4 linked regions of the Astyanax mexicanus genome follow. The protein of the gene in region 2 binds, or shares a complex with, the protein of the main gene of each other region. Links are inferred from orthologs where the notes say so. Each region holds a gene or a part of one and is shown on either strand. Other genes may lie near its edges. The genes, in order: nrros, tgfb1b, itgb8 and itgav.

Region 1 (7,790 bases), on a different chromosome or scaffold from region 2:
TGGATCAGTATCTACTATAAATGATTCAGTATCTATTATAAATGGATCAGTATCTACTATAAATGATTCAGTATCTATTATAAATGGATCAGTATCTACTATAAATGATTCAGTATCTACTATAAATGGATCAGTATCTACTATAAATGGATCAGTATCTACTATAAATGATTCAGTATCTACTATAAATGGATCAGTATCTACTATAAATGATTCAGTATCTACTATAAATGATTCAGTATCTACTATAAATGGATCAGTATCTACTATAAATGATTCAGTATCTATTATAAATGGATCAGTATCTACTATAAATGATTCAGTATCTATTATAAATGATTCAGTATCTACTATAAATGGATCAGTATCTACTATAAATGGATCAGTATCTACTATAAATGATTCAGTATCTACTATAAATGGATCAGTATCTACTATAAATGGATCAGTATCTACTATAAATGATTCAGTATCTACTATAAATGGATCAGTATCTACTATAAATGGATCAGTATCTATTATAAATGATTCAGTATCTACTATAAATGATTCAGTATCTACTATAAATGGATCAGTATCTACTATAAATGGATCAGTATCTACTATAAATGATTCAGTATCTATTATAAATGGATCAGTATCTACTATAAATGATTCAGTATCTACTATAAATGATTCAGTATCTACTATACATGGATCAGTATCTACTATAAATGGATCAGTATCTACTATAAATGATTCAGTATCTACTATAAATGATTCAGTATCTATTATAAATGGATCAGTATCTACTATAAATGGATCAGTATCTACTATAAATGGATCAGTATATGCTATAAATTATTCAGTATCCACTATATAAGGGTCAGAAAATGCTATAAATGATTTAGTATCTATTACATATGGATCAGAATCTATTATAAATGACTTAGTATATACTATAAATGATTCAGTGTCTACTATATGTGTATCAGTATCTGATAGAAAGGATTCAGTAAATGCTATAAATGATTCAGTATCTATTATAATCGGGTCAGTATCTACTATAGATGGTCAAAAAATGCTATATTTGATTCAGCATCTATTATAAATGATACAGAAAATGCTATATATAATTCAGTATCTATTATATTCGGGTCAGTATCTACTATAGATGGTCAAAAAATGCTATATTTGATTCAGCATCTACTATAAATTATTCAGTATCCATTATATATAGGTCAGTATCTACTATAAATAGTTCAGTATCTACAATAAATGGTTCAGAAAATGCTATAAATTATTCAGTATGTTCTATAAACGAATCAGTCCCTACCATGAATGATTCAGTAGCATCATTATTTCAACGATGGTGATCGAAACAAGATTTCCAACCTCGATTGGACTGTCAGATTATAATGCTAAACAGAAGGAAGATAATGGTCACCAGAACCAATACATATAAATAAAAAAGACTAATATGGGCAATTAAGCTATTAATAATTAAGCTATGCATACAGAGGTTTCTGAAGATGCCCCGCAAAAATCTGAATCTGAAAAAAAGCACAAAAGAACCAGCGAGGACCTGCAAAAGACTCTAGAGAGGAGAATACCCACCTGAAGTGAGTCCATCAAATGTTTTAGTATTGAATATAGAGTTGTTTAAAGGTTTAAACTTCAGTTATAAACATTTTGAACGCTTTGTCTGTATCTCCATCATCAGATTACCAACAAAAAATGCTAGAAAAATGAAAATATACAGCTACGCTTTTTTATTTAGTAAAATAAAAAACATAATTCTACTTTCTAATAGTTAATAATAATTATAATTATTATTAATTACTACACAGTTTAAAAAGATAATTTTAGTTGTTTAATAATGTCTTACGTAACCATTTAACAATGTTTATTAGTGTTGTATGTATGGTTATTTGTATTACTGTAATTATTTTAGTATTGTAAAGTGTTACCAAAAACTAGAGTATTGTCTGAGGATAATAACTGCACTATTACTTTTTCAGGCACTGCTAAAAGGCACGTATTATTATTAAAAATAGACCAGCATATTGATTGATTACTGATATCAGACAGTATTGATTTCAAATTAAATCTGATTAATTTTTATGAGTAAAAAAAGCATAGTTGAGACTTACATTTAAATTTCACGATACAGTTAAATACTGCTATCCCATGACTTTTGGCATTTTAAAGGCGTTACTAGAAGTAAATGTAAATATTAGAGCAAATAATACTGATTGGTTTACTGATTTTTAACCCTAAAGCAACCCCCATCACCACCCATTTAAAACGAAATGAAAATTGTTGGCAACTTTTAACAGATTTAATTTTTTTATTAATTCTTAAAACCTCATAATCTTAAACAAAGGAGGTTAAAATAAAATAATTTAAAGAAAATCTGCTTCCCTTTTCTTACTTTTATTTAATTTAAAAAATGTGTAAGACTTCATCTTAAGTAGATTTTTTTCTGATTATTTTTGATTATTTTAAAATCTATTTTTTCACCATTTTTACTCATTGTAAGCAGCACAAAAGAAGTGCTGTGCCTTTTGTTTACATTGTTTATATTGTTTACATTGTTTACAGCACCACATCAGCTGGGAAGTGCTACTGTGGTTGTTCTTGCAGTTCTTGTGCTCCGAGTTTCACGAATGTGAACACAAAAGCACTGTTCACTTCCTTTAGTGATTTCAGAGTTTTAAAAAGATTTTTCTAAAAACTCCTGGTTTAGTTTTTATAACTTTTCTGGATGGACCATGTTAGAAATTTTATTTTTTTTGTTTTAAGTTTTTTTTGTTTTGTTTTTTTTTGTTTGTTTGTTTTTTTTTGTTAAATTGAACTTGTTTCAAGATTCTGAACTTTCATTATTTTGTTTTTTTCCAGCAGAAAACTTATAGAAATGTTTTTTTGTATAAAACAATTTAAACAGAAAGAAATATTCAATTAATAATAATATAGTACATATTAATGATATATCACTCATAAAACATTAAAAAAATGAAACCCCATATACATTACGTGGTTCACTGACCAGACGTACTGATGATAAACCCATTTATCAGAGAACTGTATCATTACTTTCAGTATAAACCCTTTCTGTGTGCTGTTATATAAAGAGCATCATCAGATTAACCCTTTACAGTGTGTTCACTCACCTGAGGAGACAGTAAACGGTTCTCCACTCGTTTATCAGCGTGTGATTAATCCCCCTCTCTTCAGCAGCGTGGACTGAAGCAGTGCGTGTATGAGTGTGTATTAAAAATATCCTGTGGAAGTGAAGATAGAGAGAGAGAGAGAAGCAGTAGAGGAGCCTGTAGCAGAAGAATGGGTGGTATATACCCCCTTGTGGAGGTTAAGAAGTAGACATCAGCCCTTAATTATTCCATTTATACACAATTCTATACATAAGAAGAGCTAATAATGGGGATAAAACATCCTCTAAAAGCTTTACTGTGGGAAGAAACTGGGCTTCTCAGAATATCTTATGTTATTTAGGCGATAAATTGTCCCAGAAATAAATGGAATAAATTATATTACTGTCACTTTGAGACCACGGTCATTTTATGCCACTGATATAACAATTATATAACAATAATAATAATAATAATAATAATCCCATTTAAAGAACAATAAAAGAGCAAAACAATTACAGTAATTATTCATCTTCAGACATTAAATTTCAGATATAGAAAATGTTTAAATATCCTCCTTATTCAGCATATATCAAATTAAACACACACTTTTTGCTTGTTGAAGTGGTAGTAAACACAATGGGCAATACCAAGGCCAGCTAAATTATTAATTAAATTATTGAGATCACATTACATATATATATATATATATATATATATTTTATATTCATACTTTTATGGACACGCGGATTTCATTTTCCAGCAGGATTTGGCACACTGCCCACACTGCCAACAAAAGTATCAATTGGTCTTCTTATATAATATTCTAATTTTCTGAGACACTGATTTTTGGGTTTTTATTGGCTGTAAGCTTCATAATTAATAATCAACAATAAAAGAAATAAACGCTTAAAATAGATTATTCTGTGTTGACTACATCTATATAATATAATATGAATTTCACATTTTAAACTGAATTACTGAACTAAAGTAACTTTTCAATGAGCTCATATTTTTTTTTTTTTTTTAAGATGCATCAGTAATGAATTTACATCATTTTTATACTCATCCACCCACACTTTCAGTGACCTCTCGTGACCTGTGGATGGAGAAGCACTGAGTAAAAAACACCCTCATCAAATCAGAAATGTTTTTATCATACAGTGGTGGAAAATATGTATTTAATACAAAACCTATTTTCAAGTTTTCCCTCCTATAAAGAATGTAGAGGTGTGTAGATTTTGATCATAGGTTCACTTTAACATTGAGAGACTCATTACCTGCATTAACTGCACCTGTTCCAACTCGTTACCTGTATAAAACACACCTGTCCACTTAATCAATATACAATTACCTACCTAATCAATCACACTCCAGCCTCTCCACCATGACCAAGACCAGTGATCTGTCTCCAAACACCAGAGACTAAACTGTAGAGCTGCACAAGACTGAGATGATCTACAGCAGAACAGGCAGCAGCTGAGAGAGAACAACAACTAGCGTTTAATTATTAGAAAACAGAAGAAACTGAAGATGAATGTTAATGTTCTTCTTCTTCTTTAACCCTTGTGTGGTGTTCATATTTTTGTTACTCGTTTACTTTGTTATTTGTATTTAATTCAGCAAAATTAAGCAATTCTACATTAAAATGCTTTACACATGCTCGCTTCACCTAAATTGCAAGCAATATAAACAAACAGCTTACATGGTTAATATTTGCCCTTTACCTTTCTTATGTTACATTTCTTTCAAAAAGTGCTACTCTTTTTTTATTAGTTTTTTAATAAAATGTAAAAGAAAATGAATTAAACTCAAGATATGAGTAGAAAATTTGTTTAGTTTCAAATTTACAAATGAAGCAATGTTTATTAGCCCCATGGCCAATCATACTGTATGTAATATAAATGTGTAGAGAGGGGGGGTATACAGTGTGTGTTTATCAAAAATGTGTTTTGATATATATCTTTTTCACAAAAAATGAGCCAATCCCAATGAGTTTGAGTTAGAAAAAATATTTTTTTAGTATCATTTGATGAAAAATGAAAACGAACACCACACAAGGGTTAAAATTCTACATCTGGTGTGTGCTTTATGTTCTTAGTGTGAATAAAATCCTATATATGGTATATTAGATACATTTTATATTACAAATCATTGTAACATTACATCATCTGATTTTATTTATTTATTTATTTCCTTACGTGGAACTGAGGTCGCATTCATCACCTGTCTGAACTTCTTTCTTTCTTTTTTTAAAGAACAAAAGGTAGAAAACTACAACGGCCGGCACACTTTCACAGACTGGCACCATATAGTTTATTTACAGGTCCCACGACCTCATCGATATCAAGGATAAAACCTAATAAATAAATATCATACACTAGTACATCACAATTGAGCAGTACAGTAACATTGTTACAATAGGTTTTCTTTTGGATTTCCTGCACAAAACACCGACGTCCAAAGACGGCATCGACTTTACTGCATGCAAAGTACTCTAGTGAACTCCTCTAGTGAAGCAGCCTCGCCCGAATCCTCGCCCGGTTCCAAATGGTCAAGCTGTGTGGAGGTAATAAGAAGAAGGTGGTTTTGGCATTGGTCGTTCGCTGCACTGCTGGATCTGTTGGAAGTCCTAAAGCCATCCCTCCGGTGCGTCAGTGGATCAGGTACAGACAGTAATTTGTGTTAAAGACGCTTTTTGTTTTGTTACTGTGGATTATACGGTTAGACGATCAGGATCGGAGGGGGGTGTTAGGGTTAAAACTTGCCACGTGCCATCTAAAGTGGTTTGGCTTTGATTAATCTAGGATTATGAGCTAGCCCAGTGTCTTTATTTTTTGATAAATTATGTGATATAAATCAGTTTCAAAAACAAAACAATAGTCCTCAACAGCCATCAGGGGGAGCATCCAGAGACGTGCCGGATCCACGGAAGAAGCGTGCAGTGGAGAGCCTCGCCGTTCCCCCCCCCCTGTAAACCTTTAGAGTTCCCCCCGTACGACTCTCGGTGCTCTGACTTGTGGACGTCTCTTTCCTTGGCACTCGTGATGTCTATGACGTCTATGTGGCACAGAGACGGTCCTCAGCCATCCAGAGGCTTCCCCAGGTAGACCATGGTGACCTCCGTGTTGCCGTACACAGCCGAAACCGCAGGGAAGAGGCAGGTCTTGGGCAGCCCTCTGAAGGCCACGCCCAGAAATTCAAAACCTCGCTCGAAGGCCAGCGTCTTGTCGTCCATGTCCAGGATCACGCGTATTCTCTCCCCGATCTAAAACAAGATAAAAAATTAGGATTTAATCTGCTTGGTTTGTTTCCACACAGGTACAAATTGCCCACCAAAATGCACCAAAATGCCCACCAATAAACCACGCAAGCACATCAGAGTCTAATATGATTTGACAAACAGTGTTTGGTGTGGGGGGAAAAAAAGAGTAAATATAGTGATGATAAATATAAGATTCTGTGTTCCAGTGCGCATATATGCCTATCATTGCAGTGTGAAGCTGATTTAAAACAGAATGCTGAACTTTTTGAACAGTGTTTTTAATGGGAAGTAGTGAACACTGCACAGACCGTGCTCTTAGTGTGTAAACAGCACGGAGCAGCAGAGCCAGTGTTTGTTTATAGCTGTGGTACAGCACTATACTCTTGAGTCTTGAAGCATCCAGTGTGCCTGCTCTTGTTTACTGTAAATAACAGGTTTTAAGTTTACCTGAATATATTTTTAGTACCTTCAAATCCTCAACATCTCCTAAAACATAAACAGTCACTATAAAATGGGACTGTCTAATAGAGGATGTGTTTCTACGTGAGCTAAATGAGACAGTAAAAAAAATTGCCAGCTTGGATTATAATGTGCCTGATAAAAATGTGATTGCATCAGTCTTTGCTGCAAAAACTGGAGCAAAGTTGGACCATGCAACAAGACAATGATCCACAACATTCCAGTAAATGCACATGAGAGAGTATCAGAGTTCAGAGTATCAGAGTTCTATTTCAGACGAACGAGTTAAAAGAAAAACTTTGTTACTTCTGAATTTTTTTATATATTTTACAGTTCCATATTTAGTATTACTACTTTCTAAACTCTCAATATTGTTTTAATGAGGATTAAATGTGCATATGTTTTAATTTGTTAACCAACCAGAGTTTTCCCCTGATTTTTTCACAAGGCTGTATTTTATTTGCACTCTGAACAGAAACACTATTTTCTGGTACTTCTTCAGCATTTATATGGCTAGAATGAAATGAAAGGCATTAGTGGCTATTTATAAAAGCAAGGAGGTAATATTATGCTTGATATGTGCATTGTATAATGCAACAGACTAAATTGAAGCACATTTAAAAGAATATAAATAATATTTACTTTTTCTTGTGCTGTGCTATAGAACAAGCTGACTGGAATTCAAATCCAATTCTAATTGGAATAAAAACCATTTTATGAATGTAACCGATACCTTAAGTGCTTAATGACATTTCTGGCACCAGTGCAAAAAGCGAGCTAATGGCACTAATTTGCTAATGGAGCTTAACAGAGCTAAATATGGCCTACATTTCCAGGATTTCTCAAAAACAGGCTGTTATCAAACAGTCAGCAACTCTTCATCTGATTTAGAGTTGGCCACAGAATGATTTATGTTTTTAATATTAATATTATTAATA
Region 2 (7,748 bases):
TAAGTAATTAACTCTTGATGAGTTCAGCACAGCTGTTAACTGAAAGCCTGAATTCCAAGTCTGCCTCATAAAGCTGACTCAGAAAATCCAGCCAAGACCGACAAAACTAATATAAAGATATAAAAATCTACAATCTTGTTGACTATAAAAAAATAATATTAAAAAAACCCACTAAATTTAAAGTGTCCATACTTTTGACTGATACGGTATCTACCCAATACCATTAATGTTACTCCAATCATCAATACACATTGAAGAACTTTTGTACCACAAACCTAAAGGATGGTAAAATCTATTATTTCATTTGCTAAACAAGTTTTATATCAGGTTTAACCTTTTATCTGACAAGTTTTATCTTGTCATTTATCAGTTGAGTGCACTATTTGTCTAACTGAGCTCTTTTTGTTTCTTTACTTAGTTGAGACGTTCTTCTCATAATATATTTTAGAACATTATTCAAATATTCACTATTCACTGTATACCTGTAACTCTACCTCTTCACTACTTTACTTTAACTGATGCTCTCAAACACTTTATTAAGAGGCAAGAAATTCAAGTAATTAACTCTTGATGAGTTCAGCACAGCTGTTAACTGAAAGCCTGAATTCCAGGTGACTCTACCTCATGAAGCTGACTGAGAAAATCCAGCCAAGGCGTGCAAAACGAATATAAAGATATACAAATCTACAGTCTTTAAAGTGTTTAAACAATTAAAGAACACTGAATTAATGCACAACGTTTGTGCCACCAACTTTTAGGATAGTAAAATCTATTATTTCATTTGTTAAACAAGTTTTATATCAGGTTTACCCTTTTACCTGACAAGTTTTATCTTATCATTTATCAGTTGAGTGCACTATTTGTCTAACTGAGCACCAATCAATCAATTATTAATTGATTTCCTCACAAGATTCAAACAGTACTTTTCCTGCTGATGTATAGACCTGCCAGACATGACAATACTGAATTTACATGTGAAAACGACAACGGTGGTCAAGCTAGATCACCACACCACACCACACCACACCACCTATAAATATATATATATATATATATATACTCACACCGGGTCATGTTGAACTTGTGAACCTCCTTGGCATAATATGCCTCCTCCTCTGCCTCCTCAGAAGCCATGCTTGCGGTGTTCTGCGTCAGCTCCTCGCTCAGCTCCACCGTGCTGTTGTAGACGGACAGCACTTCTTCTGGAACCTCGTCTGTCTCCTTTTCTTCGTCCACCTCCGGCTCCTTGGCCAGACGCAGCTTGCTGAGGATCTGCCCTCGGATGGCCTCGATCCGCTTTTGTTTCACCAGCTCCAAGTTCAAAGGCTTGCAAGTAGACAGAGCGTCACTGTGGGATGCAGACTGCAGCAGGCACAGCAGTGCCAGGATCAAAGCCTGCGCCTTCATCCTCCGCAGATGGCTTCGTAGGGTATATTTAGGTCCTGAGGAAAGCTCGGCGCTGTTTGAGGGAGGTCGAGGAGGAAAACGGTCTGCTATAGACTTAAAGCGTACGCACTCTGGATGCTGATTCCGCTTCAGTATTCCAACACAAAATTTCCATTGGCCAGAGGCGCCTTTTCTTGAGTTCCAAGCTCCGGGGTCAGGATCAGAGTCACTACACCGCTGAGAAATTGCTGCCCATATCTGTCTTGCTGGCAGGCAGCCTTGCTGGATCTGACAAACTCCCAAATGAGCTCTCAGGGATCCAACATGCTGCCACACAATAAACTAGAGGAAACCTCACTTGTTACCACACATTATCTGCAGAACACAGGGCACGACTCACCCCCGTGACTCCAAAATTTCAATACATCACTGTACATGACAGCTAACTGGAGCTACTCCTCTTTTTTTCTGTCTCAGTGCTGGCTTCACAACCCTTGCTGTGGTCTAAACTTAACCTAAAGGAGTGAAAGAGGAAAAGGAAGCAGGATAGCTTAACAAAGTGACACAACACTTCCTTTACCACCAAGCAATTGCCCAATCAGACTTGCTAACAAGCTGTGTACAACTCAGAAGTTTATACTCACAAGTCTTAATAAGGCACTCTAGACTGCCACACAAGACTGCTGGACAAAACACTGTGCAAAATATACAGCGCTCACATACTTGTGCTCTCACATCAAACCAACATAGTTTCCAGCACCATTAGAAGAGTCCCAAGAGCCCCAGAGTCTGGGATAAAACACAAAACCAGTACTAGTCAATACAGCCTTTCACAAGATCAGATCACATGAGTTATAAAAAGCTAATCCTCTCCACAAATTACTGAAACAACCAAAATTACCAATCCAATTAGATCAAACCTCTCAAATCTCTCAAACGCATCTCAATCTCCCAGACTCTTCTCTTCAAAAAGTCAAAAGACAGAATCAGCTCCCACAGGGAGCTTCCTAATTTCAAGCTGTGAACAAACAGTAGTGTCCCAAGAAGGCAAGGAGGTTTCCACAGAGAATTAGAATCAGAGACACCCAAACATTACGCCAGCTGCACTCAGACCCACAACACAAGCCTTCTGCTCTCAGAAAAAAAAAAGAGCAAAGCTCCCTTCTTCCTCCCCGCCCCTTCTTATTCTTGTCTCATCAGCCATTGGTTCAACAACTAAGAGGAACTCGGATATAAACAGGACAGGATGACAATACGCCACAACACCCTACCACTGTCCCCCATCTCAGCACCTACCTAAATTCAGACACACACTGTGTTACAGTTTGTAACACAAACAGGAAGGTTTCTGCAGCCTCGAACAGAAAATACGAGCAGAGGAGAACACTGACACATCAAAAGCCATGAAGGTTCCTGTGTTAAGTTAAGCTATTTTAAGGAGGTTGCACATTTTCTGCTAAACACTCTACTGCTTTTGAATCGCACATTGCACCTCTGAAAGAAACACTTAAAGTAAAAGAGACACTGTTCCTTTTACCCTCATCTTAGCTTGCTCCTCGTTCCTGTAACAGTCGCTAGCCGAAGAGAAAATGATTTGTGAAAGCGCAACGTTCCGTGCAGGACAACCGACTCAGTAAACCACAAGTGTTTTTCAGCTTTCTTTTTGCTGTAACCACGCAGGAAATGAGCATACTAAAACATCTGCAACACATCAAACCTGGGGTGACTTTGCTCTCATCATCAGTAGCAGCAGCATACAGAATACAGAACACAGGGTGGTATGGATGTGCAAATCGAAAGGAGCATGAATTGTGATTAATTGTAGGGGGTGTGAGCGGGGGACATACAGAAGATTACAATTTTCATTAAAGTGGAGGTGTATTATTTTATTCCTAAACTGAAAGCAGAAGCATTTCTGAGTGAAGAAGAATGTATTATGTATACAATATTGGTTTGTTTCAATGGTACCAGTTTAATGGAACGACCATCCCTATTAAGCCGAATATATTCATTCTAAAAACTGGGTTGTTTGGTTGCTTTTTGCAGGAGTTCTTCTTCTGGCCATGTCACGTGTCTTTACGTACTTACGTCACATTTTTTATGTACTTACGTCACTCAGTTTTACTGAACACGAGCGGCTGGTGGAGCAATGGAGACTTCAGAAGAGGAAACTCAGAGCTCAGTAGCTCATTCACTCATAGTAAAACCAAAGAAATGAAGTAGTGAAGTTTCTGACTGAGCTCTCTCTCTCTGACTGAACATCTGAATCCTGGAATCTGATTTATCCCCTCTGAAAGGAGACCGCATCACACCTGCTCAGTTTAAAATTATTCTTCCGCATGCTCGGTGCAATTACCCATTCTCACCAGAGAGGGCTCTAAATCACTAAAATCCTAGAATTTACAGACATCAGCTTAAAATCTCAAAAAACACAATGTTATGCAGTGTATGCTAAAGTGTATTCCTTTAGCACAGGGGTTTTTAACATTTTTTTCCACTATGAATAATAGTGTCTTTTCTCAAGAGTTTACCCACTTTATGTGATGTTCCAGACATGTTTTAACAGGACACAAAACAGTGCAGAATATAATAATTCACTGAGAAATTCTGAAGTCAGGTTTTGTGCACATTTTCTGTCTTTTGCATTCCTGCTTTCAGTTTCAGTTCTACCTGGAGGTGTACACCCACAACACAAAGTGAGAAAATGAGTGAAACTGAATCTGAAAGTTGAGCCAAGCAGACAAAGAAGAAAGAGTCGGTCTGATAAAATGAAAAGACGACCCTAGATCAAATCAGGATCTGATTCTCTGGACGTTCTGCAAAATAAAAATCTTGCAACCCCCACCAAGTGACTATATCAGGGCTAGTGATGAGACAAAATATCAATATTGCGATACATCATATTGTTTTCATTTGCGATATATTATCTATACATGGCATCAAATATGGATTATTTTGTATTAAAACTCTGAACTCCCTAAGACTCTAAGATACCCCAATTTGACTTATGCCTTATTTCTTCATATGGTTGCCCTAATCAAACGAATAGGGTAAACCTGCAGTAAAGAATATTGATTGTTAAGTTTTGTGAAACTGAAACACCAATAAATCCATAATCTTGCTATTTGATTATTTAGGAGTATTTTATCCTCTTCAGTAAAACAGATGCAGTGAAATATCGTTGAGAATTATCTTGTGATATATGGAGTTTTCCAGAATCACAGTATCAAGATATCATCATTATCCTGGGCAATAAATTGTGATAATATTTCTTCGTGAAATGCCTGCTTTAGCAGTTGCATGGTCACTGTTGTGCTGGCAGTAATCAAAATAATTGTCTGGAGAATGGAAAATTTAAGAATCCATAACATTTACTTCTGTTAAAACACGACACATACTGCATTATTAAAAAACAAATCACATATAAAATTGGTTGTAGAAAATCAATATTTTTAAAAAGTGATCAAAGCACTGTAGTGAACATTATCAGTCAGAGTGAGGTGAAAAACACAGAACGTATCACTGCATTGCTTCATACACATCCAAGAATGCCATTTCCCTCTTTTCCATCCAGAGCTGTGGTCTGGCTTATTCAGAAACCAGAAGTCAAATGACTCATACATGTCCATTCTTTTAAAAAACGCTCTACACTGCATAACACACCGCATAACAACTCCACTATATTCCTAATAAACAACTCAAGTCATTCTGCTTATATCTGCACACTAAAGGTGTCCCACACTTAGCTCTCCACTCCGTATCTGTCAAAATGCCGCAGGATGACGCAGAGGTCCAGCTCTACATTGCCCATGGCAACAGTGTGAAGTCTATATCGGTCCGCTCCGCTGTAAATGAGGTCAGGAGAGCGAAGCTGAGGTCCTCCGCCGACAAACATCTGAGCTAGCTGCTCCTGCCAGGTCCCCAATGGTCTCCAAGTGGCACACTGCAGCCGGTGCTGGCCAGGGCTGGACGGGATGTGGCAATAACCATAACCATACAGCTCACATCTGCCAAAGGAATCCTGATGCCACACTTGAAGGTGAAGCTTTGGCCAACCTTTAAAAAAAAAAAAAAAAAGTTTTAGAAATTCTGATTGATGGGCACATTGCACCAAAACTAGACTCGATGTTAGACTAGATTTATATTATTTAACTACTGTACTTTACGAACTAGAAAAAAATTAACAATAGCCCAAAAAGGATCTAAGGAACTAAATTGTATAAACCAGTGGTTCTCAAACTGTGGTATGTTTACCACTAGTGGTACTCTAGATTACCTCATAAAATTAAAAAAATAAAATTCTGCTTGTATTAAAATATTAAGGACTGAAAACTATAAAGTTTCAACTGGAATTTTCCTTACATTACATCTGTTAGTGTTTAGCGCTTTACCCATTAGAAACTGTATTTAAGCCTACACTTCAGGCCTTTACTCTCAGAACTCAAGTTTTATAATTATTAACAATTATTAGTTTTATTGGCCCCAGAGTAAAACCATGTGGAACGCCACAAGATATGCTAAATCCTTCTGAAATCTCTCGAACTACACACATTTAGGGCATTTTCACACTGTCCTGAGTTATAGAGTCAGCACCCTGGACTGATTCTTGGCTCGTTTGGGAAAGAGGCTCTTAATAACTGGTTTGTTTTCACACACAGGAACTCTTTTCAAACTGTGGATTGAACACACATTACTGTACATCACTTTTCTAAAAGAAGTTTCACAATATCTTCGTCCATTTGTTGCTTTTCAGTATTTTTATTCGATTCAAAAAATTAAATGGTGAGAAACAAGATTTTTCACAAGAATTTTTTTTTTTTACATTATGGGTTTATTAGGCAGTAGGTACTATTATACTGATAGAAAGGGACGTAACATGATAAGTGGAAGAAGTTACATTAGAGAGTGAACCAATCACACAACCCTACGCATGGCACAGGGAGAGGATAGCTTACACAACTGCAGCGAAAGCTTATTAGAGTCCATTTTAAACTAAACTTCAGACCACATATTTCTAGAGTACTAGATATTGGTACCAATTGGGACCAATTTCAGGCTCAATAGCATGTCTCCTTTTGTTTATTTATATTTACAGTTGATATGCTAATAATCAATGATCTGTGGAGTTGAGATTTCTTTTTTTAATCATCATTTTTTCGTGTCTATGTGGGTTTGTGTGTTTCTATAATGAATATCTTTAACTATTAAATAAAATAAAACATTAGAAAAAAAGAATACCTGACTGAAATTTCACTCATACCTTGAAGGCCCTTAGTGGTGTAATGCAAGTCAATAGGATGACTCCAGTAAGCTGTGTCACCTATCTGGGGCATGTCCACTTGCGTCTGTCCTTCCTTCAGTCCAGAGAGGAGCCTCCATGCTCCTCCTGATGGGCAGATTGAGAGAGACACAATGAGAATGAAACTAATCCAGGTTTAGATTCATGAACAACAAAAGCAAACACCTTGCAACCAAAACTAAAAAGATTGGAGGGATGTGAGATAAGATTAGAGACGATTGGATACCTGTGTGAACACCCCACTTGCAGAACAAACTACTCTGAGGGAAACCGCTGGCCCCGACAATCTGTCCGATTATGTGCAGCTCTGCCATAAGACTCTGCAAAAGATTGGAAAATGAGTTACATCTGAAGATTTTTTTTATATAAAAAAGATGAATAAAGGAAAAGAAAGAAAGAAAGGCAAAAATAATAATAAAAAAATACATACAAAAAGACATTTTTCTTATTATAGTATAAAATAGGTCTGTAGTGTGAACCAGTTTACAGTAGACACTAAACAGTAGGTTGGAAATCAGTAATTAAAATGATAGTACTAATCAATCAGCTAACTAATATCAACATAATATACCCCACAATTCACAACAGCGAAAATGCAATAAAAATAAATAAATAAAATGAATAAATAAAATAAATAAATAAAACATAAACCTTACAAAACTGTTTCTGAATTTAATTATATATCTGATGTAGAATATCTTGACAGCAGATCCACAGAAGAAAGCAACAGTGTAATCTAATAAGTCAGCTACTCTTTCTGTACATATGGAAGTGATTACATATATATGAAGAGAGCCAATATATCCATTAAACCCACAACTGCTGTTCTAAAGAGAAGCATGCGATTACATCTCACTCAGATTTCAGAAAAGAGCATTTCTTTTCCATCCTATATTTTAGGTTTAGAGGAATTTAAATCTAAATCAGTGACCTCATGATTCAGTCATAGTGGTGTTTATTGCGATTCTCAACTGGTGGGTCAGGACACGGACACGTTCTGGGAGGGTTACAGACAGCTTTATAAAAAAGAAATACATTTAAAATATAAATTAAATGAAAAAAT
Region 3 (7,680 bases), on a different chromosome or scaffold from region 2:
CATTAAAGGAAAACTTACAAAATAATTAAATATTCATGAAAAATATATAAACATATTGATGATGCATTCACTTAATAACTTATGATACATTGATTTCCCCCACACAAAATGGGAAAGATGGGAGTAGTAAAAAGTATCAGTATTTGTATCAGTATCAGCAGTATTTGCCTTGTATTTACTTGGTATTGGATTGATACCAAATTTTGCAGTATCGCACAGCCCTAACATAAAGGTACAAAAATATGATTAAATATGGTTAAAGGGTCGGTAGAGAAAAAAATAACAAGTAGATACAGAAAGGGAAAGAATGCAGTGTTTCGGAAAACTAAAAAAAGTATTTTATTTCATTGCAGAGAGTATGAACCTAAGGAATAAATTATTTTGTTTGTTCAACTTTATTTCATTTTTTTTTTTATGCATACATTTCTTAGTTTCCCTGACTGTGTGTTTTGGGTCATTGTCATGCTGGAAGACCCAGCCACATCTTCAATGCTGTTACTGAGGAAAGGAGGTTGTGATTGTTGGCCATGTGATTGATTGAGTGGACAGGTGTCTTTTATACAGATAACAGAGGTGCAATTAATACAGGTAATGACTGCAAAATTGGAGGACTTCTTAAAGAAAAACTAATTCTATTTTATGCAATAAAATGCAAATGAATTGAGAGCCTCATATTAAAGAATACAGTATGTTGCATAATGATGTTTTTTCTATCATATTTGAGTGTGAAGAACCTTTTAAAAGTTCATAAATCTTTAACAAGTTATTTTATAAAGGCTCAATATTGGAAATAATGTTTTTTTTTTTTTCTGAGCCAAGAACCATTTAGAAAGCTCTGTTTGTAAAAGTGTGTCTCATTTAGAGTCCAGCAACTATCTGTATCAAGTTCCGAGTTTATGAACTTAATACTTTTCTGCCTCGCAGGCTCACAAACAGACTCAAATCCCTAGAGCTGCTTTTTGGACGCAGATTAAGCCTAGTCTCGGACTACAAAGGAAACAAAGAGTAGCCTTAATCAGTGTTTTCAGACCTGGGTAACTATGTCATGCTAAGTTTGTTCCAATGTAAGCATTACTACCCCCCTACTCTCAAAAAAAAAAAAAAAAAATCCAAAAAAAGCTAAATCCTATACAATTAATGTAGGGCTCCAGGGCAATGACCTACATTACCCCCTCATTAATGTTGGCGGTAAAGTACAGCAGCCTCCCTTCGCTCAGTTTTCTTTTTCCTCTATTCATTAGGGGCCATCTCTCAGTCGTCCTGCATTCTTCCCCCAATACGGACGCATGCTCCGAGGCTGGATCCATTCCTAAATCCCTCCCCAGCTCCTCCATTCAGGCCTGTTTCCATGGGGAATAGGAGAGACTATTGTCTTGCGTCTCCACCCTGCGTGGTGCAGGACTCATCTTGGCCCTGAAGCTTCATTCGTGCGCATTTGCTTGACGGTTTCCCACTTAGTGAAAAAAAGGTTTGTGCTACATAAATTATATGGTGTTAAGGTAGCTGGCGCTGGATGAATGCTTCACGCTGAGTTTGTTGGTGGACAGATAAACAATAGGCGCTGTACAGCTACAGTATGTGTGCTGCAGGGGTCACGGGGTTAAACTTTATGTTTATGTATGATGTGAATGGTTTATGATTATAGGAGCTAAAGTAATGAATAAATCACATTCACTGAAGATGAGACTTTCTGCGTCGGACAAGAAAAATAAACAATACAGCCATATTTATATTTTTGAATATTTTTTTATCTTAATAAAAAAATAAATATACTTTAAGTTTTCCATAAAACTTATTTTTAAGCAATATGCTTCAAATGAATAAACGTTGATCAACGTAGATGTTATGGCTGAATCAACGTCATACGTTTAACCTTTAAAAAAACCATAGCTCATTAAAATGAGAATCCTATGGTTAACAGAGTGTTAACAATAAACTTACAATACTTAAATACGGCGTACTTTTTTCTAGTAGCATTAAGGTGTACACAATATATACATCTATACGCAAAGGAGTACATTTGCAATATACTTTAAGTGCATTAAAAAAGTTCACAGAAGTTTATTATTAATTACAACAATTACAACTAAGTTGCCATAAGTTGTTCCAAAATAGTGCATTAAGTATATAATTATTTTATTTTACAAAAGTATGTACTTTTCCATGTTAACTTTTAAAACATATACTTAATACACTTTCCTTTTACAAGGGTTAACTTACATACAGTAAGCAGTATATACTGAAATTTACAGAAAACAAACAACAGAAAAAATAAATTTATGTTTTATGACTTTTCAAATTATTAATATAATAATGTACAGTAACATATACAGTGAAACATAGGGACACCCATTTTTATGTTTTTTTTTTTTTTTTTTTAGTTTAAAATTAAGTCTGGATTGTAGATTAACACTGAAGTCACCCAAATTATAAACAAAAAACTAAAAGTTAAGTTAGTTAAGTTAAGTTTACTAAATAGCTAACACACTTACATAAGTTAAGTTTGGTTATACTTGTTATCTAACTTGGTCATGCTTATCTTGCTTGTAGACCATCTAAAAACCATTAAACTCAATCAGAAACAAAACAAACCTAATGCTGGTCGAAATCTAAGATGGTCAATGAAGATAATTTTCACAACAGAATTCCAGTTTAATGACTGTTATTACTACTACCAACAGCTAGCTAAGCTAACATGCTACTTAGTTTAGCTCTGGAGGTAAACAGCAGAGTGAGTGACTGAAACACAGCTAACTGCTGCTAACAATAGAGGTAGGCTGCAACCTATTTTTTATGAATGGAAGAGGAAATAAGTCACAAACGTCCCACACCTACACACTGCAAACCACAGAGGACGACTGAGAGACGTGTGAGAGGTAGTAAAAAGAGAGAGAGAAAGAGACAGAACAGAAAGAGAGAGAGAAAAGTCCCACATCATCCCCCTGCTAGCCGCTAACATATATAACTTTATTTACAGTAATGGTGGCTGCAGTGTATACAACACCATTTTTTTTCTCAGAAGCCATGTGTAGATATGCTGTTGCAAAGTATTTTATGTTATATATTATTAATTAGAATTCATATTTGTGGACTGGTTAACCAGATACAGGAAGAGACAGAAACAGAGATGCAGACACATAGAGTGAGATACATACAGAGGGTTTATTTATTTATTATCCTTCACTTTTGTCATAATTTGTTTATTATTTTTGTATTTATTGAAATGTTTGCTTTGGCAACAGTTGTTGTTTGCAATGCATGCCAATAAAGCTATTTGAATTTGAGTGAGAGAGATACAGAAAGTGAGACACAGACAGAGAGAGAGAGAGATACAGAGAGTGAGATACAGACAGAGAAAGAGATACAGATAGTGAGATAGAGACAGAGAGAAACACAAACAGAGAGAGAGACCGAGAGATACAGAAGGAGAAAGAGAAAGCTACAGAGAGAGACAGAGAAATTCAGAGAAACAGAAAAAGACAGGCAGAGAGACATACACAGAGAGAGACAGAGAGAGAGATACAGAAAGAGATACATAAAGAGAGATAAAGAGATAAAAATATAGTGAAAGAGAGACATACATAAAGAGAGAGATACAGAGAGATGAAAGAGAGAGGTATAGAAAGAGATATACACTCTAAGAAATATAAGTACAGATTTGTACTTAAAAGAGTACAAAGCTTGTCGCTGGGGCTGTACCTTATATTGAGGCACAAAAAAGTACCTTTCAGTGAAAGTCCTTTTTTGTACCCATGGTTTTTGTGCCAGTAAAGATCATAAAGATTATAAACATTATCATCAACTGAATATGGCTCAAAAACTTGATGATACAAAATTGTCTGGCTTTCAAATAAAACATGTGCAATTTAAATATATATTGTTCATTAGTACAGTGATACAGAATACTGAATGTACCCTTTGGCTGGTTAAATGGTACAAATTTGTACTTATTGCTGTTAGAAATGACTTTGTACTTCAGAGGGAACAAATCTGACCCTGTAAAGACCAATATTATACCTTTGAGAGTACAATTATAAAGAGTGTACCTTCGAGTACAAAAAAGTACTCATATCGTACCTCTGTTTTTTAGAGTGTAGAGAGATACAGAACAAGAGAGAAATATAGTGAAAGAGAGACATACAGAAAAAAAAGATACACAGAGAGAGGGAGAGATTCAGAGAGAGACAAAGAAAGAGAATGAGAAAGATAACGAAAGGTAGTGAAAGAGAGAGAAAACTACAAAACGAGAGAGAAATATAAGGAGAGAAACAGAAAGAGATACAGAGAGATAGAGATACAGAAAGAGAGAGAGATATAAAAAGAGACAGACAGAGAGAGAGAGAGAGAGAGAGAGAGAGAGAGAGAGAGAGAGAGAGAGAGAGAGAGAGGTGAATATAAAGAGAGAAAAGTCCCGCACGGTGTCCCCCCGCCCCCTCGCTGATCTCAGCACTGTTTATACAGTAGTATCTCCTCCCCTCTTCTCCCCCCTCCTCCCGGATAAAGGCAGGCCGGTAGGCGCGCGTTCACATAAACCGGACTGATGCGTCCGCAGGCCGGACCGTCCCTCAGCGCCTCACCGACAGTTCCGGTCACCGGAGGCCGACAATGTCCGTAGCGAAGCCCCGGCATGGCCGCCTTACCTGCGGCCCGCAGCGCGCGTGCTTTTCCCTCCTGCACAGGCAAAGCAGCTTTCTGTACCGGGGGGGGCTCGCGGTGATAATCTGACTGCTTTATCCTGCTGCTGCTTGGGTTTGTGTGCGCGCGCTTGTGTGTGTGTGTGTGTATGTGTGTGCGTGTGTGTGAATGCGGCGGGATTTTAAGCTCTCTTTTGTTTGGGAGCGCGCGGCTGTGAAGAGCTCTCAGCGTTCCCCCCGCGACCTGCACGCTCGAGCCGCTTCTCCTGCTCCTGATTCCCTCGATGCTGCTATGACGTCCTGGCCGCGTGAAGAGCGCAACATTACCCTCCGGAGCGCGCTGGTCTTCATCATCCTCATCATCACTCTGTTCGCTGTTGCGTCCTGTCAGTTGGGTGAGTATGATGTATGATGCAGCGTGATGACTGTGAGTGTGATACTGATTGGATGATGTTTGGTGATTCCTTGTGTTGAACCTGACTTAGTTGTCACCTTGAGTATGGAGAAGGAAAAGTAGGGTTCATGACCTGAAGCATTCCAATGCATCATCTGTCAAACATGGTGGAGGCAGTGTAGGTAGGTAGGTAACTTTGGTGATGCCTTGTGTTGAGCCTGAGACTTACCTTGAGTTCATAGAAAAAAAGTTAGAGTTCAAGTTAATTCCAACGCATCATCTGTCAAACATGGTGAAGGCAGTGTTATTGGCTGGAGAGCAGAGGGGCTATATATGCACATGCTACTGTTCTGTTGGTAGGTAGGTAGGCACGTTTGGTGATGCTTTGTGTTGAGCCTGACTTGATTGGTTAATTTCTTGGTTCTTGATCTGAAGCATGCCAACGCATCATCTGTCAAACATGGTGGAGGCAGTGTAGGTAAGTTTGGTGATGCCTTGTGGTGAGCCTGCACTTTAACTGAACAGCAGTCAAATGAATTGAGCCTATAGTGGTTTAAGTGCTACCCACCGCGCCACCGCGCCGCCCAATACTGTATGAATACTTTATGATAAAAGAACACAAGAGCTTCTTAAGGCAAAGAAACCGAACGTGATAATGTGATAAATTGTGTTCTATTTATTTTTTTTGTGGTTTTTTGGTACTGTGAGGTCTGACAGGTTGTTTAAACCTGCATCACACTTGTCGATTTTGTTCTCAGTTTATCTTTGTTCTCAATTTTGAGTATCAGCATCATCAGGTATGTATGAGAAATTGGGGAACATGGTATCATATGTCTGCATTATCTCAGAATCCCCATATTATTTTATTATATTATATTCCCTAGCTAATACTATGCAATTTAGTATATTTAATTCTGCTTATCAGTAGACTTCCATCACTCAGATCACTAAACATCTGATGCCTCACTTAGCAGGAGCGTAGCAGGTGCACTGCTCACACTGCTTCCCCTCCTCTTCAGTGAGCTGTGCGCTCGAACTGACCGCCTGAAACCCCGACACGCCGGGCTGTTTCTCAGGAGGGGGTGTGCGTGATGTTTTTGGAAAGCGTAGCAGCTGGAGAAGAGTGCAGAAAGGGTAGTGGCTTGATAGAGACTTGCTCCTCATTCATGTGTAAATCACGTCGCTCTGTTTTCTTTTTTTTCCTCTGTGTCGCAGCGGAGAAGCGTTGTGCGTCACCCCTCGTCTCATCCTGCGAAGAATGCCTGAGCCGTGGACCGGAATGTGCCTGGTGCTTTCAGAAGGTAATGTGGAGGCTTTTGCTGTGCATTTTGCCTTGGTGCACACACAGCATTCCCTCCAACAGACCGGGCGATTTGGGTCGTGTTTAGTCTGACCCGTAGAAGTCCTGCTACCCCATCTCGTCACCCCCCAGCTTCCTAAATGACCCCACCCCCTCCCAAATCCCATTACATCTGTTTATTTGGGTGAGAAAAGCGCTTCTGTTTATTTACAGTAAGCTTAGAATTCCAGATTTCCCAACAGCACTAGTGGTTTATCCCACATAGCTTGTTTTAACACAGTAAACACGCAGACTACAGGCCGATAATACTTACCTCTGAACAGCGAAATAGCTACCGCTTAGCACAGTTAGCAGATAATGCTAATGCTGCTCCAGCAGTGGTATCCGGGGTTCGATGCAGGCTACAGGCCGATAATACTCACCTCTAAGCAGCGAAAGAGCTAGCGCTTAGCACAGTTAGTAAATAATGCTAATGCTGCTCCAGCAGTGCTAGCCAGGGTTACATGCAGACTACAGGCCGATAACACTCACCTCTGAATGACAAAAGAGCTAGCATTTAGCACAGTTAGCAGATAATGCTAATGCTGCTCCAGCAGTGGTATCCGGGGTTCGATGCAGGCTACAGGCCGATAATACTCACCTCTAAGCAGCGAAAGAACTAGCGCTTAGCACAGTTAGTAAATAATGCTAATGCTGCTCCAGCAGTGCTAGCCAGGGTTACATGCAGACTACAGGCCGATAACACTCACCTCTGAATGACAAAAGAGCTAGCATTTAGCACGGTTAGCAGATAGTGCTAATGCTGCTCCAGCAGTGGTAGCCGGGGTTAGCAGCAGACTACAGGCCGATAATACTCACCTCTAAGCAGCCATTTCTCATTTTCTGCAAATAAATTCTATAATTGACAATATTTGTATTTGTAATTTGAGGATAATGTTTCTGTAGTTTATATAATAAAACAACAATGTCCACTTTACTCAAACATAAACCTATAAATAGAACTATAAAATCTGAGAAACTGATTCAGAAACAGAAGTGGATTCTTATTTTTTTTTCCAGAGCTGTATATATAATAACACACAGCATTCCTTTTCACGATTTGGGTCGTGTTTAGTCTGACCTGTAGAAGTCCTGCTACCCCCTCTCTCGTCACCCCCCAGCTTCCTAACTGACCCCACCCCCTCCCAAGCACCCCTCCTTACATCTGCTGGACTCCTGGTCTCCGTCTGCATCCACAGGGCCCCCTTAAGCTCCAGCACCCTCTTAACAAGCCGCTTAGGGCCGGAGTGGCCGTGGGAACCCATAAAAAAGCCAGGCTGAGAGATCTAGAGATCTACAAACAGAGCCTGCAG
Region 4 (8,117 bases), on a different chromosome or scaffold from region 2:
AGAATCAAAGATTTATTCTGATTTTAAGACAGATAAAGGTTTACAGATGCTGTAGTTTTAGAAAACCCTGCATATAATTTGATTATTACGAAGTTATGCTGTTTCTCCGCTTTGACTACTATTAGGTCATAATCTTGACTCATATAAAGGACACAAGTTATTAAAATTAAACAAATAGAAGGATTTAGTCTTTTAAATGGTATTTGATGGTGAATCCGAAGTTTATTCTGTGTTCAGTTTGATAGTCTGTCTTTTTTCTCTGATCTTTATAAGCGCAGTGTTTCCAGGGTTTGTATTCTGAGTGAGTTTATTTAGTGATCATGTCTGTAGTGACCTCTTCACCTTTTTACCCGTAGGAATGTGTTCCTGACCAGAGGATCTGCTCATTATTCAGGCTTTGGGATTTGTACGATAGGCTCGTATCTCACTCTGCTGATGGAGATTCTGAAATCGGTCCAGTTCAGCTAATATAAGCAGACAGAAACAGAGATAGAGGAGGAATTTCTCACATTACGATGCTGTGGAATGTGTTTTTTCCTGCAAACTCAGTGTTGATTTAGTGGCGATTCCGTGATCAGACTCTCAAAAACATGACCATTAACTAATACACTGCACTGCAACAGTTTCAGCACGACTGACTTTCTGGAGGTCCAACACAACTTAATACAACTTGCTTAACATGCAGTACTGAAGAAAGTATAGGTGCATTTAAACATTTGAAAATTATTGAAAAGTAATAAACAGAAAAAAAAATAAGAGACTGCTTCAGAATTGAGTTTCTTTGATTTTACCAAATTGAAAACCTCTGGAATATAATCAAGAGGAAGATGGATGATCACAAGCCATCAAACCACCAAACTGAACTGCTTGAATTTTTGCACCAGGAGTAAAGCAGCATAAAGTTATCCAAAAGCAGTGTGTAAGACTGGTGGAGGAGAACATGATGTCAAGATGCATGAAAAAAAAACTGTGATTAAAAACCACCAGAGTTATTCCACCAAATATTGATTTCTAAACTCTTGAAGCTCTGCATCTTAAATATGAACTTGTTTTCTTTGCATTATTTGAGGTCTGAAAGCTCTGCATCTTTTTTGTTATTTCAGCCATTTCTCATTTTCTGTAAATAAATGCTCTAAATGAGAATATTTTTTATTTGGAATTTGGGAGAAATGTTGTCTGTAGTTTATAGAATAAAACAACAATGTTCATTTTACTCAAACATAAACCTATAAATAGCAAAATCAGAGAAACTGATTTAAACACTTTATAAACTCTGTTTTACATAAGACCAATTGGTACTTTTGTCAGTGTGGGCAGTGTGCCAAGTCCTGCTGGAAAATGAAATCCTCATCTCTATTAAAGTTGTTATCAGCAGAGGAAAGCATGAGCAAGTGCTGTACGATTTTGTGGGAAAACAAAACTGCACTGACTTTAGACTTGATAATAAAACACAGTGGATCAACACCAGCAGATGACAGACATGTCTCTCCAAACCATCACTGACTGTGGAAACTAAAACCTGTAGAAATTATGAGGTGTTATCTTGTGAGTGACTGAGGCTCGGTCTGATCAGGACGGGATGATTTCAGTTATTTTAGTACAGTATCTGTACTGTACTCTGTGTGTAATTTACTCATCAGGGAAACATAATTATTCACTGGCTCTCTGAGTCACATGGTGTCCGAAAGCCCCTCTGACCACATGCACTGCCGGTCAGCTCTATCACACAGAGCCTGATTGTTCTCCAGAGCAACAGAAGGACTTTGAGCGCTGACCCTTTTATCTCCCAGCAGCACAGCGGCTTTATAACAGTGCGTACCAAAAGAACAGAACCGAAAAAATCACTGAACTGATTTCACTTTCTCTCTCTGACAATACCACAATAACAAATACTTTCACTTTATCAGAAACACCCACCATACCTGGTGTTTCCACCTTATCAGAAACACCTACTGTAGCATTGGGCTTTCACCCACTGGCCACTACAGGGGTTGGAGAATGAAACTGGAACACCTGGTTTTAGAGCACAATAATTTATTGTGGTGACGGACAGTTCTGGTGGAAACAGGAGAGTTGAGGTGCACATTGAATTCTGCGTGATTTTTTTGGATACAATCCGGGTTAGCACCCGAACATCCCTTTCAGACAGCGTCCACAGTTAATCCTGTTGGATGTGGTCGGTCCTTCTTGGTGGTATGCTGACATTACCCTGGATGCCGCGGCTCTTGATGCATCACAAAGACTTGCAAACACCTACTGTAACATTGGGCTTTCATTTACTGGCCACTTTATTACAGTGATTAATACCACTTGGTAGTATTTTTTCTAGTTTTAAGTAAGGTCATTAGTTTTAGGAATATCAGTAAATAATTATATGAATTTTTTGCTGTTATTATGTCATTCAATATTTCGGCACACCCCCAGTTTATAGCGACTATGGTTCAATAAAAAAATATTAATATTTGACGCCACAAATCGATAATGTATCAGATATTTTGTGATATCTGTATTTTGTCCCACTGGTATCCAGTATTTTTGAGTTCAGTACATTTCCTCCACCTGTGCTCTGCTGTGTTGTACTGTGCTGTACTTTACTGTATTGTGCTGTGTTGTGCTAATGTACTAAAGTGTACTGTACTGTATTGTGCTGTGCTGTGATTTTCTATGTTGTGCGGTGTTGTACTGCACTCTACTGTGTTGTACTGTGCTGTACTATACTGTATTGTGCTGTGTTGTGCTGATGTACTGAAGTGTACGGTACTGTGTTTTGCTGTGCTGTGTTGTGCTGTACTGTGCTGTGCTGTGTTGGGCTGTGCTGAGCTGTGTTGAGCTGTGCTGTACTCTGTTTTGTTTAGCTTTGCTGTGCTGTACTGTGCTGTGCTGTGTTGTACTGTAATGTACTGTGTTTAGCTGTGTTGCTGAACCCGGCTCTCTGTAGTGTATGGTACTCTGAGCTGTGTGTGGAATGTGCCAACGAGGCCTTCCTTGTTTTTCCGTCTGAAGGAAAGCCGAGAAACTTTTTCAGGGTTTGGGATTATTCTGTGTGAGTGTGTGTGTGTGTGTGTGTGTGTGTGTGTGTGTGTGTGTGTGTGTGTGTGTATGTGTGTGGATGCATGCCAAACACAATATACACACTCCATGTTTCCTCCTTATGGTTCATACAACACCAGAGACCTTCACTATTTACACAATATTATACACACACACTCCTAAAGCATGACTCACACTCGGCCAAGTCTGAATAAAGTGTGTGTGTGTGTGTGTGTGTGTGTGTGTGTGTGTGTGTCAGACTGTCTGAGCCTGAGCTCAAACCATTAAAGTCCAGCCATTAAAAGCTCTGAGTTACTGACCACACCCTGTTATTATTATTGTTGTTGCTGCTGTTCTTATAAATATAATAAATAATACAACTTTTTTTCAAGAGAGATTTAAAGTTTTAATCAGATATAATATATTTTAGTGAAATTTTATTTTAATTTGAGTCAATTTCAAAACTGATACAGGGTTGTATAGAACATTCAGTGATGAGCGTATGTTCCTTATTATCATTGTGATAATTATTTTTGAAACTAATAATAAACAGCAATTGTTAAAAACTATGCTCATTATGGGATGATGATTCAATAAATCAATTAATGGCACTGCATGTAGCAGACTGCCATATATTAAAAAAACTCATTATCATTATGTTATTTAAATTGTATATATAAAACTCATTCTCATTATGTTATTTAAATTGTATATATAGATTACATAACATAAAGAAAACAAAATTATTGTGTTGATAAATTAGTATTGTTATTATTGTTTATTTTATTTATTTTTTAAAAAGCAAATATTATTTGTATTATTATTTTTTTTAAATTTGTAAATAAACATAAATCAATGTCATCTTACAGCACTTCATGCTTCCCTCTGCTGACAACCTTTATAGAGATGCGGATTTTATTTTCCAGCAGGACTTGGCACACTGCCCACACTGCCGAAAGATCTTACATAATATTCAAATTTTCTGAGACACGGATTTTTGGGTTTTCATTTGCTGTAAGCCATAATCATCAACAACAAAATAAATAAACGCTTAAAATAGATCACTATGTGTGTTTAATACATCTATATAATATATGAGTTTCACATTTTTAACTGAATTACTGAAATAAAGTAACTTTTTTTTCAATGATATTTCATTTTTTGAGATCCAGTACTGTATATATTTATGCATCTACAGCTCTGGAAAAAAATAAGAGACTACTTTAATTTTGACAAATTAAAAAACCTCTGAAATATAATCAAGAGGAAGATGGATGCATTTAAAGTGGCAGGAGTTGCATAAAGTTCTCCAAAAGCAGTGTGTAAGACTGGTGGAGGAGAACATGATGCCAAAATTCATGAAAAAAAAAAAACTGTGATTAAAAACCAGGATTATTCCACCAAATATTTATTTCTGAACTCTTAAAACTTTATGAATATGAACTTGTTTGTTTTCTTTGCATTATTTGAGGTCTGAAAGCTCTGCATTTTTTTTTGTTATTTCAGCTATTTCTCATTTTCTGCAAATAAATACTCTTTTATTTCCTCTTTTCTCCAGAGCTGTATATATACACAGCCTGACAGTAGGGGGAGAAATATACAATAAAATCACCAAAAACGTGAAAAGAAGCAACAGAAACATCATAAATAGTTTTTTTTTTACTAAAACTTCTGAGTCTAGACTGGATCAGTCCTTATGTGGAGATGGAGGAAGTCCCCGTGACGTCACAGAAATTGTCACATCCTGTTTAATCGTCTCCACCCCCGGCTAACATCAACATCAGCGGAGCAGAGCCCAGAACACGCACCTCAACACACACTCCATAACACACTCCTCCATAACACTGGAGCAGCGCGCGCCGGCGAGACGCTACACTGGGACGCTTTGATGTCTTTGATGTAGCGCGCGAGACTGTCTATGAGTGTCTATGGGTGTATGCGGCTGTGTGAGTGTGTGTGAGTGTATATGAGAGTGTGTGTGTGCACTGATTAGAGCTTCTGGACTCTTCTGAAGCTGAAAGCCCGGCAGAACCATGGAGTACCATCTCTTCTGGATCTCCCTAACACTAACCTTGTATCTCCAGCCCGGAACCTCCTTTAATCTGGACATAGAGAACCCGTACGTGTTCTCCGGACCGCAGGGAAGCTACTTTGGGTTCTCTGTGGATTTCTTCTTCAAGCCTTCTGATAAACAGTAAGTGTGTTTAAAAAATGTTGGGGTTCTGATTGTTGTTGTAACTCTGCGGTCCACCTTAAATGCTTAAATGGTCCAAAGAGTACCAAGTACCAAGTACAAAGAAACTTACAGTCAGAGAGTTGGTTGTTGTTGGAACTCTCCAGTCCACCTTAAATGATGCAGAAAGTTCCAAGTCTAAAGGAACTTGTAGTTGAGCCTCAGGCGCTACAGTGCAACTTCTGCACCACTTAAGGTGGAATGGGCATTTACATCAACTTGATCTACAGCTTTCTAGTGAAGAAATGTGTAAAAGCAGACTTTGGCTGTTGTTGGAACTCTCCGATCCACCTTAAATGGTCCAGAGAGTACCAAGTACCAGGTATAAAGAAACTTATAGTCAGATCTAAAGTGGAGCTACAGTGCAACTTCTGCACAGTTTAAGGTGGACTAGGCATTTCCACCAACTTGATCTACAGCTTTCTAGTGAAGAATTGTGTAATAGCAGACTTTGGCTGTTGTTGGAACTCACCGGTCCACCTTAAATGGTCCATAGAGTACTAAGTATCAGGTATAAAGGAACTTATGGTCAGACCCAAAGTGGGTTTTTTAGTTAAGCCTCAGGCTCTAGAGTGCTAATTCTGCACAGTTTAAGGAGGACTGGGCATTTCCACAAACTTTTAAAACAACGTTTTTTTTGTAAAAAAAGTGTCAGAAAGCTTGAGGGTTTGGTTGTTGTTGGAACTCTCCGGTCCACCTTAAATGGTCCAGAGAGTACCAATTACCAAGTATAAAGAAACTTGTGGACCCAAATTAGAGTTTTTAGTTAAGCCTCAGGCTCTAGAGTGCAACTTCTGCACAGTTTAAGGTGGACTGGGCATTTCCACTGACTTTTAGAACCACATGATCTACAGCTTTCTAGTAAAGAAGTGTGTAAAAGCAGAGTTTCGTTGTTGGAACTCTCCAGTCCATCTTAAATGGTCCAGATAGTACCAATTACCAAGTATAAAGAAATTTGTAGATCCACAATGAAGTTTCTAGCTCAGCATTGAGTGCTAATTCTACACAGTTTAAGGTGAACTGGGCATTTCCACTGACATTTAGAACAGCATGATCTACAGCTTACTTATGAAGAAGTGTCTAAAAAGCTTAGTGGTTTGCTTGTTGGATCTATCTGGTCCACCTTAAATGATACAGAGTGTACCAAAGAGTACCAAAGAGTACCAAGTATTAAGGAACTTGTAGTTAGACACAGTGGAGTTTCTAGTTGAGCCTCAGGCATATAAAGTGCAACTTCTTCCCCATTTAAGGTGGACTGGGCAGTTCCACCAACTTTTAGAACAGTATGATCTACAGATGTGGTTTGGTTGTTGTTGGAACTATCTGGTCCATCTTAAATGATACAGAAAGTACCAATTACCAAATATAAGGAACTTGTAGACCCAAAGTGAAAGTCTTTGGCGCTAGAGTGCAGCTAGTTCACCATTTAAGGTGGACTGGGCATTTACACCAACTTTTAGAACCATATGATCTACAGCTTTCTTTTGAAATGTTTTAACTCTGTTGCTTTTGAAACTTTTCGGTCCACCTTAAATGGTCCAGACTGTACCAATTGACAAGTATTAAGAAACTTGTTGACCCACAGTGGAGTCATTTTAAACACATTTTACCCCCTAGTATTACTCAGGAGATACAACACAACACATTCAATCCAAACCCACTATGATTATGTAAAATAAATCAGTAATGGAGTATTTAATCATACTTTTAAAGGAAGCCCAGTGCAGAAGAGTTGTTGTGAAAGCATCAGACTGAATTTATTTCAGTGCAGAATGAAACTGCCCACAGCTATGCTGATGTTTTAAGACTCCGCCCATCACCCACCACATTTTATACCACTAAAAAAGCAAAACATGTCCTGACTCTTACAGGATTAGAACTTTTAATCTTATGTGTTAATTGCTGTACATTGTGATAGAGAACTAATACTGTCACTGTAGTAGAATTACTGCTCTTTTAATTGAGTTAGACTGTGATACATGAGCTATATTTTAGTATAGCATAGTTACTGCTCTTTTAATTGAGTTGCATTGTGATACAGTACTAATACTCTTATTATAGTACAGTTGCTGCTTGTTTTATTGAATTAGACTGTAAAACAGTACCCATATTACCACTTTAGTGCAGTTACTGCTATATTAATTGAGTTACATTGAGATACAGTACCTGTATTTTCAATTTAGTACAGTTTATTTTTTGTTTTGTTTTATTGAGTTAGACTGTGATACAGTATCTACACTTTCAATATAGTACAGTTAGTGTTCTTTTAATTGAGTTAGACTGTGGTACAGTACCCATATTTTCAATATAGTACAGTTACTGCTCTTTTAATTGAGTTACATTGTGATACAGTACTAATACTGTCACTGTAGTGCAGTTTATTCTATTTTAATGTAGTTATATTGTAGTACATTACCTATACTTTCAATATAGTAGATTTACTGCTATTTTAATTGAGTTAGACTGTGATAAAGTACTAATGCTCTCATTATAGTACAATGTCTGCTCTTTTAATTGATTTACATTGTGATACAGTACCTATACTTTCAATATAGTACAGTTACTGCTCTTTTAATTTAGTTACCCATACGTTTACTATAGTACAATTCCTTTTCGTTATTTGAGTTTTATAGAGTATTACTTTAATATTTTTTAATATTAAGTTATTTTTAACTCTAATGTATTGTCATTTTTTTGTCTATATCTTTATTTTTGTGTAATTATATGTACATTACATTAAATCTTATTTTATTTGATACCATTGTAATTGCTCTATACTAATCGATATGTGGACATTATTATTCCTTTATTTTTTTATTTATTCATGTATTTATTTGTATTTTTTCAGGTCAAA

Evidence for each region.
Region 1: the proteins of tgfb1b (region 2) and nrros are in contact, whole or in part, in a cryo-EM structure (PDB 7Y1R), measured with the Homo sapiens proteins. The link is inferred for Astyanax mexicanus from reciprocal best matches to the Homo sapiens genes TGFB1 and NRROS. Residues at the interface, in NP_000651.3 of Homo sapiens: Leu30, Ser31, Thr32, Cys33, Thr35; in NP_940967.1 of Homo sapiens: Phe194, Glu195, Ile196, Glu197, Gly198, Gly199, Phe201, Leu210, Leu212, Pro218, Cys219, Ile220, Val221, Asp222, Phe223, Gly224, Leu225.
Region 3: the proteins of tgfb1b (region 2) and itgb8 are in contact, whole or in part, in a cryo-EM structure (PDB 7Y1T), measured with the Homo sapiens proteins. The link is inferred for Astyanax mexicanus from reciprocal best matches to the Homo sapiens genes TGFB1 and ITGB8. Residues at the interface, in NP_000651.3 of Homo sapiens: His117, Thr241, Arg243, Arg244, Gly245, Asp246, Leu247, Thr249, Ile250, His251, Gly252, Met253; in NP_002205.1 of Homo sapiens: Ser156, Ala157, Ser158, His160, Asn161, Asp213, Tyr214, Asn215, Leu216, Gly248, Asn249, Ile250, Asp251, Thr252, Glu254, Gln286.
Region 4: the proteins of tgfb1b (region 2) and itgav are in contact, whole or in part, in a crystal structure (PDB 5FFO), measured with the Homo sapiens proteins. The link is inferred for Astyanax mexicanus from reciprocal best matches to the Homo sapiens genes TGFB1 and ITGAV. Residues at the interface, in NP_000651.3 of Homo sapiens: Gly242, Arg243, Arg244, Gly245; in NP_002201.2 of Homo sapiens: Asp178, Asp180, Phe207, Tyr208, Gln210, Ala245, Asp248.

The regions. Positions count from the first base shown.
Region 1 is NC_064413.1:1,024,382-1,032,171, reverse strand, and holds the start of nrros (transforming growth factor beta activator LRRC33), read right to left. Parts: upstream 3,259-7,790; 5' UTR 3,153-3,258; intron 1-3,152. Other genes in the region: fbxo45 (F-box/SPRY domain-containing protein 1), read right to left, coding at 6,211-6,396. UniProt on the Homo sapiens protein: Key regulator of transforming growth factor beta-1 (TGFB1) specifically required for microglia function in the nervous system.
Region 2 is NC_064424.1:5,653,053-5,660,800, reverse strand, and holds the start of tgfb1b (transforming growth factor beta-1 proprotein), read right to left. Parts: upstream 3,100-7,748; 5' UTR 1,408-3,099; coding exon 1,065-1,407; intron 1-1,064. Other genes in the region: b9d2 (B9 domain-containing protein 2), read right to left, coding at 5,129-5,442, 6,647-6,772, 6,912-6,999. UniProt on the Homo sapiens protein: Transforming growth factor beta-1 proprotein: Precursor of the Latency-associated peptide (LAP) and Transforming growth factor beta-1 (TGF-beta-1) chains, which constitute the regulatory and active subunit of TGF-beta-1, respectively.
Region 3 is NC_064410.1:2,967,748-2,975,427, forward strand, and holds the start of itgb8 (integrin beta-8), read left to right. Parts: upstream 1-4,497; 5' UTR 4,498-4,803; coding exon 4,804-5,029; intron 5,030-6,243; coding exon 6,244-6,329; intron 6,330-7,680. UniProt on the Homo sapiens protein: Integrin alpha-V:beta-8 (ITGAV:ITGB8) is a receptor for fibronectin. It recognizes the sequence R-G-D in its ligands.
Region 4 is NC_064418.1:49,338,007-49,346,123, reverse strand, and holds the start of itgav (integrin alpha-V), read left to right. Parts: upstream 1-4,794; 5' UTR 4,795-5,063; coding exon 5,064-5,224; intron 5,225-8,111; coding exon 8,112-8,117.